Linked DNA regions of Arabidopsis thaliana. The protein of the gene in region 2 purifies or fractionates together with the protein of the main gene of each other region. This does not show direct contact. Each region holds a gene or a part of one and is shown on either strand. Other genes may lie near its edges.

Region 1 (3,772 bases), on a different chromosome or scaffold from region 2:
TTGTGCGTGTTTGTTTGAAGTGAAACATATGCCTAATAGCATATATAGCTAATCCAATTTGGCAATCCGACTTGCTAGCATAAACTTTTCCTTTATATACATCTTCACCGTCAGCCCTATCTATATCCGGCATTATGGCAGCTTCATACTCCGTGTCATCAAACAGAGGAGGAATATCAAACTCTTCATCGTCCACATCCGACAGCTTCCTATTTTCTCTTGCAGTTTCATTTGTATTACAATCACCTGTTCTATTGTTAACAACTTTTCCCGTTCCACTGCTGTTTGCAAGTAAATCAGTTGGATGCTTAATCGAAGACGTTATCAAATCATCAATTTCCATGTTCGAACCTGCACCTTCCACACTGGCCACCAATTCTGTGTCTACTGTTGGTGACGCAAATCCCATTCTAACATCAGCATCTTCTTCCCCGACACATATTATATCCAATGCATTTGAGCCACCCATGTCCTCATCCAAGAATGGGCTCCAAAACTCCACATCATAAGATTGGGGTTTTACTTCTATAATCTCATCCCAAGTAAGATCTTCGCTTCCTTCATCCACTAGATCTTCATCATCAAGATCTTCAGATAAAATTTCACTAACAAGAGGACCTCGTTCACAACCTATAACTCTTTCTATAGTTTCAAGTTCTGCAACAAATTCTTCATCTTCGGAGGACAGCAAAAATTCTTTCAACCCGACCTTCGATATACTATCTTCTGATCCACATAAACGTTTCGACTTATTCCCTCTTCCGTCATCTTCCTTAACTGAACTGGTCTTCACTAGCCCACCGTCAACCTCAGAATTGTTTAAAACTCTTTTACAAGATGTTCCAAACTTTACAAACATGTTGGTTCCAACATTTGCTTCCAATATCTTCATAAAATAACTTAGCCCCACATCAGTCGTCACGACGACCGGTGGTGTTTTATCTCCGGTGGTAAAATCTCTTATATTTGGGGTACAGAAGCTTAAATCAACCTTCGTACTCGTTGAAATTCCAAATTCTACTCTAATGGCTTCCACGAATTCTGATAGCTTAATACCTTTATATACAGGCACAATTCGAGATTTCATTACCTTATTAACCTCAACATACCACTTCTCATCCTCCTCGCAATTCCAATCCCCGCATATTACATAACAGAAGCCATCCTCAGTTCCCTGCAATATATAAATTTTTTATCTTAGACAGTCAATAATATATCAGCGAATATTTTCTACTATTGTTACCAATCCATTTTTTCTTACCATCGTTATGATATCTTTGTTAGTTGCTTCAAACTTCAGAGCTTCTCTTTCTTTTGTTCATCGTCATTCAAACTTCGATGACATAGTTATTCGTTCCATGCTTTCTCCGGTTTGCAAAAACAAAATAAACCGGTTTCCCCAAACTCTTACCCTAAATAACCGATTTTACTTGATTTAATTAATAGGGTCAATTAAGTCTTTTTCCCCCTTATAATTGATCACCCTTATAATTGATCAGAAGTGTGCCTGTCGGCAAAACTTTTGCTCAACATGTTTTCGAAAGTGTATGATAATGCAAATCACCCTTAAAATATAATATGGTAAAATAATTTGGTGGTGTTAGCTGAATTGGTTACGATACAAACAATGGTTTGGGTGGTTGATTATACAAGAAAAAAAAGACAATGACTTTGAGTCTTTGATTTACAAAATCATGGTACAATCTAAAACCAAATGGGTAAATTAAATTGTGTTATTGGGTAGAATTGTTTGTTCCAATGCAAACACATATTTTTTTAAAAGTATAAAATCATCGTTAATTATAAATGGGCCGATTTGACCCAATAAAGCCTTGATAAACCGGGCTAAGCCGTCTGAAACCCGACCCGGGTAGTTCTAACTTTTTGACCCTAAAACGAAAGACCCTTCTCTAGCACGTCGGGGTTCGTTCAAAGATCAAGATCTGCAGACATGGCGGACGAAGCAACCAGAGCTGTGAGTACCTCTCTCTCTCTTAAATCAGCTCAATTTTCTAGTGGAATATTCTTCTTTCCCCAGTAAGATGTTGCAGAAAATGGAATTGTAATGTGTATAGTTACAACAGGCTTTTATGGAGATTCAAGCTAGCATGATTGAACTCACTGGGAAGCTCAAACAGGTGAATCCTCACTTTCTTTGTATTTATCAAGTTTTAGAATCAAACGTGACACATTGTATAAGGGTTTACTTGTAATTTGTTAGTTCTTGAACTGTGTTTGGTTTTATAATCCCTTCTTTCATGTTGTGTAATGACAAAATTGGCTTTCCTAGGTTATTGTCATGTGGTGCTGAAAAACTGAAATGTGAATGTGGATGGGTTTTATATATAGGTGCAGAATCAGATGCGCAACAAAGAGGGAGATAGAAAGCGAGCTTTCTTAACCTTGGAGGAGCTGAGGCCATTGCCTGAAGAGACAAACACCTACAAGTCAATAGGCAAGTGATTCAATTCTCTGGTTTTGAGACAAGGACTAGTAAAGTTTTGGTCTAATTTGTGTTTTATTCTTGTTTTCAGGAAGAACGTGAGTGGTGGTTATTAGTCAGTCCAACTAGAGGCCTTTAGAGAATTTTGAAGGCTGATTATAGTTTGTATGGTGAACAGGTTTGTTCTAGAGCCCAAGACAGTGCTGGAGGGTGAACAAGAGCAAAAACTCAAGGACAGTGAAGCTGCCGTTGCTTCTCTACAGGTAACAATCATTCCCTCTTTCAACATCTTATTGGGTTATTAGGAGATCATTGAGATGCTGGTTATCAAACATGTTTTGTTTTCGGGATGATTTTTAGACATCCAAGGAATACTTGGAGAAGCAGGTAGCAGAGGTTGAGAACAACTTGAGGGAGCTGTTGCAGCAAGAACCGGGCATTGCTCAACAGATTATGTCCATGTCTATGTAACTTTTGTATTATCCCAAACCTTTGAGTTTGGAGAGCTTTTGGGATTGAAACCATAACATGTTCTAGTTAAAAGTTGTAACATTCAAAAGTTTTTGTTCGATCAGTATTGTTTTAAAGCCTCTGGTCTATGATATTGCAAAAAACTGAGATTTCTTATGCGACAACAAATGCATGATCTATCTAACTCGAAAACAAAAATTTTAACAAGGATGAGGTCTCTCTATGATTCTTCGGAGAGAAAACTCAATCCTTGTTCCACCGTTCGGTATGCTTACCGGCTTTCGTTGTCCGGATGAGAAGACTTTGTTTCCGGTGTGGTCTGGCTCTGTTTTCGGTGTGATTCGGCTCATATTTCGGGTATTTGTTGCTAAAATGGAATTCGCTTTGTTTCTTGAGGGAAGATTAGGATAAGTCGATTGAATAATTTTCCGGCGATCTTGGCCGGAATTGAAGCTTTCTGATCAACGGAGACTCTCACATCTTCAACTTTGCATGTGTCTTCTAACCTGCTTCCTGCTTGCCACATGTCTAATATAATGCATTTAAGCTTTTCCTTCAGCTTTCTTATTGGACTTTGTTTTCTTTTGTTTGGCTTCCTTGGTTTAGTGTTTGTAAAATATTGGCATGTTACTTTGGCTTTCTATACTAAATAAAACACACTTTTGACAAAAAAAAAAAAAAAAAAAGACTACAACTCGAGATTGCATCTAACATTGTGAATATATATAAATTTAACCTCACAATCTAAACACAAGTAGATGTAATATATATTATGAATTCAGTGAAACAATAGTTAAAACTCAAGTTGATCAATCATCAATAGCATGTGAGCAATAAGTGTCAAAAGAGATACACATA
Region 2 (4,049 bases):
AGACATTTTTCCTTGGTGAAACATTGAAGTACTTATACTTGCTCTTTGGAGATGACTCAGTGATACCATTGGATAAGTTTGTTTTCAACACTGAAGCTCATCCATTACCAATAAGAAGAAACACCTGAAGGCTTAGTTTTGAAGACTACTCCAGACAATACACACACACACACACATACACAAACTTAAGAGAGGGTATGGAGAAAGTGATGTATAGTACACTGCCAATTGGAGAAGAAGTTAGTTCGTTGAGGAAAAAAAGTCATAACTTTCAATGTAAGATAAGCTTCTGCATCCAAATTATAACTTAACTCGTAAAAGTTTTTGCTTGTAGTAGTAGGTTTCTTGAGACTAATATTCTCTCTTTTCGTTAAGCTCTCACTTGGCAAAATGTAATCAGACACAATTGACATGGAGATGAATTATGGTTTTAGTTTTTTATACATACCATTTACACTGCAAGATAAGATCATTCTGATATGACTAATAAACCTTTAAATTTGAGATCATTTGGTCATCTTAGCTCTTTGTAATCTGCAAGGTGTTGCATAGAACATAATCGACTTGAAGTATGTATGAAGACCAAATTAGGCGCACACACACAATATTTTTTTGTAAATCTCCAAACTCATAACTTCATAAAGGGCGACAAGATCATGTATAAGTTACACACTTAAGTCTAGTTGTCAACAAAAAAAGATTAGTGACACAAAGAGACATCAATCACCCAATAAACTGAAACCACAAGAACCCTCAGTAACTGAATATGACACCATTGAGACAAGGCCGAGCACAGTGGAAAGGGTTTAACAAGTGTGGTTGCAACTGAGTAGCTCAATCAAGCCTTTGCTTTTCCTGCCTGGATAGTTTGTAGCCTTTGTTGTAACTTCATTATCTGCAAATATTTTGATTCCATAAATTGAAACCATAGGATCATTATCACCATTTAAAAGCCAAGAAAGTGCAGAAACAGCAAATCCTCATATTGCGCCAAGGCCAGTAGGCCACTCAACGAGACAGAGGAGATAACAAAGTTCAAGTATTTACTTTCCGGGCAGGCTTAAACTGACAACAATAGCTACCAAAGTATCTTTTTAGAGCTTAGTATACTGAGCATCAATGTTTGGACTATTATTGGTGTAGCAGTCCTAGTATCACTAATTCAATGCACTCAAAGAAGTATATAAATGCATGAGAGGCAGATGTCTTACCGTTTCTCTCTTGTTGTTTTGTTTTTCTTCCATATCTTGAAGAATTGCATCAAGCCGTTTCCTGCAAAGGATACAACAATATTCTTGAGGTCACAACACTATAGCTCAAACACTTTATCAACATCTCTCATAGTTGTTACATAGCTAGAAGTGAAAACATTTTAGCTACTTATGAACAGCAATCACTCACTATTAGCCTAGAAAGAAAGAAAGGTTCTTTATTTACAATAACAATCCCAAAATAGGTTTCTCAACGAACTGCATTTGCTTCAATCACATTAAAAGAAAAGAAACTCACAATTCAGCAGAGATGTACTCAATTCGTTTACGAACATTTGCATTAGCTTCAGCCAAATCCTGCTTCACTAACACCGGACCAATCAATTTGTAGACGTTAGCATCTTCTTCCAGCAAATCTAACTCCTGTAGATACAAGACAGACACATAAAAAGATTAAAGCCAATCAACAATCGAAATAAACTTCTCTTTTCAGTTGAAGTAGCCACAAAACTCAGATTAAACAGTGAGACATGAACATATACCTTAAGCACGAGCTCATTCTCACCGAGTTGGATCGTATACTTCTTTCTCAGCTGATGATTCTTCCCGATATCTGAAAATATGAACACAGAAAAGTAGGGTTTCCCGCCTCCAGAAACAAGAAAAGAATCAAATCGAGAAAAGTTACGAGAATCTACGAAACTTGCCTTTCTGGATTTTGCCGAGATCATTAGCCTTGTTTTCTAGGTCTCTCTGCAAATCACGAACAGTCGATGAACTCATCTTCGTCGTCGTCGTCTGCTTCTTCCTCACTCCGGTGGTTTATTGAAAACTCGCAGATCCACCAAGGAGCAGTAACAAAACTCCGTTAAAGCCCCCGTGTTTTAGTAAGGCCCAAAACCGTATTAACTTGGACTTTTTAACGGCCCAATATGCTTTTCTTCTATTATCAAGCCTAGTTTTAGTTACATACAAAAGAAAAACACTATTTATCACTTGGTGACGTAATATCTTCTAGTTCACTGATCATATCAACACTGAACATAACTCTCATAAACACAAATTTTTACTTTTCGTCCCTTTATACCTCAATCTATAACGGGAAAAATGTCGTTTAATACGTGAACTTTAAAAAAATGGTCATTTAATACGTGAACTTTATATATGGTAAATTAATACATACAAAAATCGTTGACTGGCCATTTTACACAAACTTAATCGTTGATCAGGCCAAAATCTACACGACGTTATCTGACATTAACAGACCGATAACAGCCGTTAACTAATCTCTGTTAGTTTCCAATACGACGTCATTTCGATTATCGCAAAAACGGGAAAAATGCCATTTAATACTCCAACTTTCAAATTATGGTCATTTTATACATCAACTTCACATATGGCCATTTTATACATGAACTAAACGTTGACCAACAGTTTAAAAAATGAGAATGTGTTAACCAGGCCAAAGAGACATACCGCTATCTAGGCCTAGGTATTTGAATAAATCCAAACCGAATCCAAACAAAAATCTGAATATCTAGGTCTAGATAGCGGTATGTCTTTTTGGTCTAATCAACGCATTCTCATATTTTAAACTATTGGTCAACGTTTAGTTCATATATAAAATGGCCACATGTGAAGTTGATATATAAAATGACCACAATTTGAAAATTGGAGTATTAAATGGCATTTTCCGTTTTCGCGATACTCGAAACAACGTCGTATTAGAAACTAACGAAGATTAGTTAACGACTGTTATCGGTCTGTTAATGTCAGATAACGTCGTGTAGATTTTGGCTTGATCAACGATTAAGTTTATGTAAAATTGTCAGTCAACGATTTTTGTATGTATTAATTTGCCATATATAAAGTTCACGTATTAAATGGCCAATTTTGAAAGTTCACGTATTAAACAACATTTTTTCAAATCTATAATAGTGAAAAGCCGAAGATTTTACAAAGACATTTTTGTTGTTGTCAAACTAATAATTCACTCCACAGCCTAAAAGAAATAGAGTTGGATCAAAAGTAAAGTTGCCACTTTAGTCTCGCATCTAGCACAGATCCAATGAGAGGGAAAAAAAAAGAGAGAACCTAGGTCAATACTAAAACTTATTCCATCGTGGCTCTACTAATTAGAACAATTAAATACTATGTTACAGTAGAAACATTTCTTTTACTTTTTTTTTGTTATGCGTGCATGGAGTTTTGTCTGTAAAGAGCTTTAAATATAGTGGAAATTAAATGTTGAGAGTTAAAAAAAAAGAAGAAAAAAAAAGACAAGGAGTGAGGAATCTTGGATAAAAGGACACTAACCTTCCCTGTCTTTGCTCGCTGCCCGAAAAGAACATACAGAAAGACACTTTCACATTTCACACTTACAGAGAGAGAGAAGAGAGATAAAGAGAGCATTTAGATATCTTGAGGAAGACGAAGAAGAAGTAGAGGAGAGATATGGTTCCGAGCAACAATAGATGCAAATGGAGTTCCATTTTCTTGTTTCTGCTCAGTGTCTCCGTTGCCGTCTTAGTCGCCGTCGCTGACGACAAGTCTCCGGCGGTTGAGGATGGTACGCTTTTCACTTACCTTCATCAAATTTCTTTGTTCTTTTCTGGTCTCTGCGTGATTGGTTTTTCTCAAAAATGCCATTTAAATAAGAATCTTGTGTTATCAAGATTTGGTTTCTTGAATCCAACCCATCTCTGTTTCAAGAACAGAGGACCAAAATAATTTAGTTTCAGATGATTGATTTAGTTTTTATCTGGATTTTGAGTGTTTAGATTTTTGGGGGTTTTCCTCAATTTCACTTCACTGTTGCTAAGATTTTTAAGTTGAGTT

Evidence for each region. The genes of interacting proteins can lie anywhere in the genome.
Region 1: the proteins of PFD6 (region 2) and PFD1 fractionate together in Arabidopsis thaliana (co-fractionation; one large-scale study listed by BioGRID). This does not show direct contact.

Annotation. Positions count from the first base shown.
Region 1 is NC_003071.7:3,043,693-3,047,464, forward strand, and holds PFD1 (PREFOLDIN 1), read left to right. Parts: upstream 1-1,830; 5' UTR 1,831-1,951; coding exon 1,952-1,975; intron 1,976-2,084; coding exon 2,085-2,138; intron 2,139-2,349; coding exon 2,350-2,455; coding exon of another isoform or gene 2,456-2,459; intron 2,460-2,534; coding exon 2,535-2,541; intron 2,542-2,621; coding exon 2,622-2,706; intron 2,707-2,803; coding exon 2,804-2,914; 3' UTR 2,915-3,212; downstream 3,213-3,772. UniProt on the Arabidopsis thaliana protein: Binds specifically to cytosolic chaperonin (c-CPN) and transfers target proteins to it. Binds to nascent polypeptide chain and promotes folding in an environment in which there are many competing pathways for nonnative proteins.
Region 2 is NC_003070.9:10,505,611-10,509,659, reverse strand, and holds PFD6 (prefoldin 6), read right to left. Parts: upstream 2,128-4,049; 5' UTR 1,995-2,127; coding exon 1,919-1,994; intron 1,825-1,918; coding exon 1,754-1,824; intron 1,635-1,753; coding exon 1,510-1,634; intron 1,273-1,509; coding exon 1,212-1,272; intron 896-1,211; coding exon 839-895; 3' UTR 509-838; downstream 1-508. Other genes in the region: MNS3 (alpha-mannosidase 3), read left to right, coding at 1-128; AT1G29980 (choice-of-anchor C domain protein, putative (Protein of unknown function, DUF642)), read left to right, coding at 3,666-3,780. UniProt on the Arabidopsis thaliana protein: Binds specifically to cytosolic chaperonin (c-CPN) and transfers target proteins to it. Binds to nascent polypeptide chain and promotes folding in an environment in which there are many competing pathways for nonnative proteins.